Linked DNA regions of Daphnia pulex. The main gene of each other region encodes a partner of the protein of the gene in region 2 in a complex. Links are inferred from orthologs where the notes say so. Each region holds a gene or a part of one and is shown on either strand. Other genes may lie near its edges. The genes, in order: protein Dr1-like and SAGA-associated factor 29-like.

Region 1 (3,298 bases), on a different chromosome or scaffold from region 2:
AAAAATTCAGAGCTCGACCCAAAGGATTTCTTTGGTTTGTGGTCTACGTTTGCGTCAGATTTTAAAGATATTTGGAATCGTGAACAGCAACGTATTATCAAAGAAAAGTAAGCCTTTTTTATATTTTATTAATTTTTTTATTTATTTTATTAACACAACAATTCATTCTTCTTTCGCGGATTCAGTTTGGATAAAGCTAAGCAAGCTGTGAAACAGAAAAAATTACAGAGTAGTTCAAGTTATGGCTATGCTAAATCGAAAACTGACGAGGGAACTTTGGTAAGTCGTCCAGTTTATTTGCTCTACTTTTAAGATATGGTCTAACAATGTTTTTGCAATTTTACAGAAAGCAAGATTGCTTAGTCGAAAAAAGAAATAATGTTTGGAATTTCACTTTTGCCTTTTCATATTTATATATAACTTCTTTTTCCACCACGACACACGTACTTTTGTCCAATACCACTATGATAAAGTTGAATTTCTCGTAATCTCGTAACACTTAGATGTCGATCAAAGGCTTGGTTTGTCCATGTTATTTATCCTCTCAAACCTTATTATACTGATATAAAGTCGATTTGCGGCTTGTCGAATTGTTAAGCATTCAAAATGAAAAATAACTTGTTAATTATGCAATAAGTCATGCAGTTAAATTCTTTCCAAATATGAGGTATCTGAGTAGTATAAATAATGCTTCAAGTACAAAAGTAAAGAATGTTAGGATGGTACTGATAAATAATAATTAAGACAACAGTAGAAATATTTCAAATACACTTCATTAAGCTCATTCTAGAAATCAAATTTTGTATGTATTGAATCAAATTTCACAAACAATCTTCTAAGAGTATTCTCCATCTTCTGAATTTGATGGAACATCTCCCTGTTGTTGCTGCAAGGACATTTGAGCCTCTGCTTGAAGTTGTAGCCACTGTTGCTGCTCAGCAGCAGCTTGTTCTTCTCTGGCTTTGGCAAATAATTCCTGCTGTCTATATTTTAAAAAATATGTATTAGACTAATTAAATCATAAAAAAGTGATAAAACTTACTGTCTCAATAGCTCTTCTTCTGGAATTCCCAAGTTTTCCAACCTTGTACTTTGGCGCCTCCTTTTGGCAGCAACAGCTTTACAATCTTTCAACACTGCTTCAGCATCAGTACGGTAGTCATTGAATCCAAGCCTATCTAATGCTACAACCATGTGTGTTAGATTATTTTTCCTTTCCATTACTTTACAACATTTGTAACAATTACCTCCAAGTATATGCTCTGCATTAATAGTCTTTTTCTGTTGCTGAGTACAAATTTCATTAGCCTCTGAAGCCAAAAGGTGTATGAACTCAGAACAACAGTTAAGAATCAATTCTCTAGCTTCATTGGCAACTCGGACACTGGGAACAATCTCTTTAATCATTTTGTTCATAGCAGCTCTCGGAATGGTCAATTCTTCTTCTGGCACAGCTTCTGCCATCTTTAAAGCCTGTATATCAGAAAAAAAACCTACTGTCCACAAACAGAAAACTTTATGAAGAGCAAAGGCTTTGTCAGCCAATACTAGAAGGAAACCGTAATATTGAAAAACAAATTTATGACTCATTATATACCAGAAAATTATATACGTAGAATTAAAAGAACAGCACACACGGTAAGAGTATGATCCTAAATTCTTTCAAAGTTTTCACTAATAATTAACTTTTCTCTCGTGCAGAAGAATGCATAAACAAAGCAATACAACAAACTACACCAAACACACTAGATAAGAAACTAAAATGAATCGCTAAAATAACCTTTTTTTATGCGCCTCTACCAATCGTATACAGGTACTAGGTTGGGAATGTCCAGAACCTTATCCATCTGGTGGCTGCGACTAGTACTTCGTATCCGACTGATAGAATATATCAGCTTGCACCATTATCAGCTTGCACCATTAGTTAGGCAATCCAAATTCATTATCATTATAGGCATTACGAAACAAAAACTAAAAAAGACCATTGTTTTTTCCCCGCATAATTCAGAATCAGGTCATTTTTGGTTGTAAAATTGCTGTCATCCCCCTGTGATTTCCACGCAAACCTTGAAATGATTGTCATTTTTATACTACAATTTCTACTTCATCGTCGGTCCGCGAGGAATTAGAGGAAAAGTCATTGACAAAACCAAGAATACGCCTAGGTCGACCACGGCACCACGCAAGGAAAAGAAAAATTCCGGGTAAAATATCTAAACTTCATTCGTGTTGCTTATAGCAACTCGATCTATTGAAGGTTGTTGACAAGCAGTGTTATTGTGCGTGTTAGCTTTGTTTTTTAAATTCGAAATTCAGAGACCGAGTGTGATTCTATTTGCGCTGTTTGTAAGCAGAGCTATAGATGACAGCGTGTATGGCAGAGCTATACATCTATAACTCTGTTGTAAGCATAAAAGGCTAGATATTTTAATTTAAACCTGAAGTCCTTAATGAATAGGATATTTGTCGTTTGTAGTTTGAATATGTTTTTTGATTTTTTAAATGAAAACAAAATCACAAAAGCCCTTTGCTTGCTAACGGAGATCAACAACTGAGAAGTTAGAAAGAATTCGGGTAATTTTCTGAACTTCGTAAAAGGGCAACGTCGCTTCCCATTCCTCACGGAAGTTCGTCTGCACTGTGCAAGTCTGCAGACTGCATTGCAGATTGGTGAGTTGGTGACGATGACATCATCTGCATATTTTTTCAAAGTTTCAATCATGGAATTGTTCGATTGTAGTGACTAGTACGCAATAATGAGTCCGTTCACTCTAAAGTTTGTTTATATTTCTCGATTGTCTAACTTATGTTACCCACGGGTGTCCCGTTGCACCGTGGACCTTGGAATGTGGATTGTGGTCGGTGAGAAATTGACGGTGGTAAAGAAACTATTGCCTGGGGGACCGTAAGGAGTGATATTAATCGAGCAGCCCCATCAATTCCAATAGTTGCTTGAAAATTTGGGCAAGAACGAATTTGAAAAGCCCTTTGTGCTTTGTCTGCTGCAATACAACTTGAGGCAGGTGGCTACCATGTTACAGTTGGAAAACAAGCACATAATTAAATCACCTTGCTTTTGTCGTAAAACACACTAATGATTTATTACATTTTAGGTCAAAACAAATCCTGTCTGGATCTTGACGTAGAAATTGATAGACATACTTTTCATACTGTTGTCAAAGTTGAGAAAGAAGAAGACAGACATAATCTACTCTCTGCAACACTGGCATTATATTGGCCCACTTTCACGTTGATTTACCATATTGGTCTGGTGGAGTAACCATCAGTGGGAAAGCAG
Region 2 (3,732 bases):
TACGTAAATATCACATTGAAATATGATGTTGAAGTGAATGTCTGCACAAGCTCCATTTGCGAAAATTCCATTTTGACAAGCTCCATTGCGAAAACGCGCCCTCAAGACATCTCGACTGGAAAATGACTGCAAAACCACTGCTCACACCATGAACGCTGCATCAACACCATTGGCAGCTCCAACATCAAACTAACCAAGAAATCCTGTAAATCAAGTTCAAAGGAAAACAATGAACCAATTACATTTTCAAATACAAGAAAGGGTTAATTTCTGTTTTATATTTAAAAAATACAATTCTATTGAGCAAATCTTTTCACAAAAGCTCTTAATTAGAAACATATAGTTGTTGTAAAATGTCATCTAAATCGAGAATTCAATGTCTGACCTGATTCCTGACAAAAATCACATGTGTAGCACACACTTTTAAAGTAGACTAAAATATAGGCAAATTCTAACCCACTCGAGTGTTCTAACAAGTTAAGTGCATGTCTGTGAAAGCTCTTGGCATAATTCAACTGGAAATTGAAACAATTTGCAAAACAAAACGTAATGAAGCTCAGGCTTTACTGCTCAACAGTTAATAGAAAAATTTAAATTACTTTTTGAAACAAAGTCACACAATTTTAATTCAGAAACAAAGTCTTGAATTAAAAAGTTAAGCAATAATTACTTTTTACTGTTCTGCATGGAACGAAACGTGCAACATTCAGCAAGAGACGACATTGTGGGAATGTACAGCAGGCCACATGCGATTACCAATTATGAATTGAAGACAATGTTACACGTTTTGAACCACACACAAAATTAAATTTTATAAAATTAAAGAATAAAAAATGGAATTACCATGTCTATGATCAACAATGTCACGTAAGAAAGTACCAGCAATGACTAAATTTTACCTTCTCGGACAGCGTCTCGACAGCAAAAGAAAGACTGTTCTGTCAGTCGTCTCAGGACTTTGACAGTTTGATGACCCATCCCCCTACACCCCTCTAGAAACAAACACACTAGAGCTGAATAGTTCAATCCCTAAACACGCTGAAATATTTAGCCACCTAGTGACAGCCCTGAGCATCCACGGACGACTAGAATGGGACGGAAAATAAACGAAATATTCGTCATCTCCGTGAAATACATTTAGTAGATAAAAAAAATTATCGAAAAATTAACAGGTGAGCTTTCTTGGTGGAATAGTTATCGTCAGTCATCACCAAAAAGTTACCACACAATGCCGATACATTTTTACAGGGATGTGCAAAATATTAAAATAACTGACTACAAAATAACTAAATAATTTGAGAGTTGAAAATGATCAAAGGCTATATAATAAAACCACTCGAAAAAAAGGCCTGATTTAGAAATTATTGCCATGGTTATACAATTTGAGCATGCTCATGCCATCTGCTAATGACGAATGGAACTAATACAGTTGATGCCATAGTTGCCATGGTGACGACAAAGCAACTGCCGATGTTACGATTTTCAATTTATTGTTTGGAAGGCTGATTTCCGATGACTGTTTTTAAACTCATCTTCATTAATTTAGTAAGGTTATTTTTCTGTGCATAAAAGATATGTAAATTTCAGAATTTAATTTTCTTTAGTTCTTGGTTTTCTTGGTGGCTTTTGCTTGGATTCCAGTCATCATTGCTGGTTTGAGCTCATCATTTAGGAGAGGTAGTTGTTATTAAACATATACATCATGGCTTTGTCATTAGATTCTGCCACACAGCAAGTCCAAGTAAGGTTGATATAATCAGTTGTTAAGGTATTTACTTAGTTCTAATTTGGATTGGGGTGCAGGAACGATTGAAGGGGATCTACAAGTTGGTCAAGCAGATTCAAGAAGAGAAAGTTCGTAATGAAGGTAACTTAAATGCTGTTATCAAAGCTCATGAAAAACTTCAGTCAGATGACAAAATTTCTCCATATCACAAGGTATTTCTATTCCCATATCACTAATTAATCAGCACTAATGAATGCCTATAAAATTATCAGTCTAAATTAAAAGGACTGTATTGCTCTGTGGTGGCTGATGCTGAAAAAGAAGAGGACCTTATTCGTAAGGCATTAAGCAAAATCTATGAAATTCGCGTTATCAGACATGAAAGGAGAATTCAGGTTATTCCCAAGAACGTAAACTTAGAAAATTTCACCTAACATTGTACTAACATTCTTGTTCAGGCAAAACAAGCTGGCAGTAAGGAAACTATAAGAAGAGGTGCTCTCATGAAAATGCTTCTCGTTACTGCTCAAACTCTCCCGCTGTGGATCAGTAAGTCAGGACAACAGCCACCAGCATTATGTGGAGCAGTTCCAGCTGACCCAACTTACGTTGCCAAAGTATTACATTATTCGAATGTCATAAACTGTTAATTGACTAACCGAAACACCTTATATGTATGTCAGCTGGGAGATATTGTTGCGGCTTTGGTAAAGAGTACAGACGGCGATGAGAATTGGATTTTGGCAGAAGTCGTTCAATATTTAGCTTCTTCTGGGCGCTATGAAGTGGATGATATTGACGAGGAACAGAAAGAGCGACACACTTTAAGCAAACGCAGAGTAATTCCTCTTCCTTTGATGCGAGCTAATCCTGAAACCGATCCCGATGCTTTGTTCTCAAAAGGAGCCACTGGTAAAAACAAAACAAAAAAATCGCAAATTTTAGCTGATCCGACGTTAGCATATTATTAACATACTAAACATTTGTTTTTAGTCATGGCTTTGTATCCACAAACGACCTGTTTTTACAAAGCGGTAATCAATCAATTACCCCAAACAGCTCAAGATGAATACCAAGTTCTTTTTGAAGATTCTAGCTATACTGAAGGATTCAGTCCGCCTTTGATGGTGGCGCAACGATATGTCATAGCTATCAAAGAGAAAAAGAAATGATTTCAAATACATTTGACCCTTTTTTCTATTCTCTCTTCTGTACAGCAGGATTTGTGTTTTTCACTACTTCTTCCAACCACGTATGAAACATGAAATAGAATCTAAATGGGGGAGTTTTTGAATCCGTAGTCGGCGTAGTCAGAAGGCTTCATTTTATCGGAAACTTTAGGGAAGTTCGGATCTCCTGGGTAAACTGCGGGTCTGGAGCCGAAAATTGCAAATCCTTTCTTGCGAGTCCAGTCCTAAAAGTTAAAATGTAGTATTTTGGGTGCTGTCCACTATTAGAGGCAAATACTTACATGAGAGTTGTACTTCAGATTGTAGGTAATTCCCAAAACCAGCCATCCAGCAAGAAGATATTTACCAACCCAATAGCGAGTAATCTGAGTTTTGTCGCCCTATGAATAAGAAAAAGAATTAGAACACAGATTTTATGAATTATGTAGTAGTCTCACAACCACAAAATGGACAGTTAATTAATTTTTAAAAGTAAAGTGTTTTAGTTCACATTACATCTGCTCGAACTAAATCGGGGAAATGTTACCCATAACAAAAGTTTTAAGTTCTGTTAATACTTATTATTACTTACCAATCTAGATTGAAGTTTAGAGAAGACAAAATCAAGGGGAAAACGATATGCTCGACGGATTGGATTCATTTCCATTTGGCTGGCACTAAATTGCGTACGAGGTTCATGGTGGCCCAACTCCTGAGCTTTGAGCCATTTTTTTCGCCATTCACGATCCAAATCGGTCATCGTTCCATCCAAACGAGCTCTTTCATTCTCGTAGGGGCCCCTGATGGTCATGGGTCGAGAAGTAGGTTCCGTCATCT

The links.
Region 1: SAGA-associated factor 29-like (region 2) and protein Dr1-like share a complex: the UniProt entries of both Homo sapiens proteins name them as parts of the ADA2A-containing complex. The link is inferred for Daphnia pulex from reciprocal best matches to the Homo sapiens genes SGF29 and DR1.

What each region holds. Positions count from the first base shown.
Region 1 is NC_060021.1:11,079,157-11,082,454, forward strand, and holds protein Dr1-like, read right to left. Parts: upstream 1,757-3,298; 5' UTR 1,598-1,756; intron 1,515-1,597; exon of another isoform or gene 1,474-1,514; 5' UTR 1,465-1,473; coding exon 1,248-1,464; exon of another isoform or gene 1,185-1,247; coding exon 1,043-1,184; exon of another isoform or gene 984-1,042; coding exon 836-983; 3' UTR 785-835; downstream 1-784. Other genes in the region: uncharacterized protein LOC124194693, read left to right, coding at 1-107, 186-279, 347-379. UniProt on the Homo sapiens protein: The association of the DR1/DRAP1 heterodimer with TBP results in a functional repression of both activated and basal transcription of class II genes.
Region 2 is NC_060019.1:9,072,398-9,076,129, forward strand, and holds SAGA-associated factor 29-like, read left to right. Parts: upstream 1-1,425; 5' UTR 1,426-1,545; intron 1,546-1,604; 5' UTR 1,605-1,702; coding exon 1,703-1,741; intron 1,742-1,803; coding exon 1,804-1,938; intron 1,939-1,998; coding exon 1,999-2,121; intron 2,122-2,184; coding exon 2,185-2,343; intron 2,344-2,409; coding exon 2,410-2,638; intron 2,639-2,719; coding exon 2,720-2,898; 3' UTR 2,899-2,926; downstream 2,927-3,732. Other genes in the region: uncharacterized protein LOC124191408, read right to left, coding at 3,000-3,140, 3,198-3,296, 3,488-3,730. UniProt on the Homo sapiens protein: Chromatin reader component of some histone acetyltransferase (HAT) SAGA-type complexes like the TFTC-HAT, ATAC or STAGA complexes.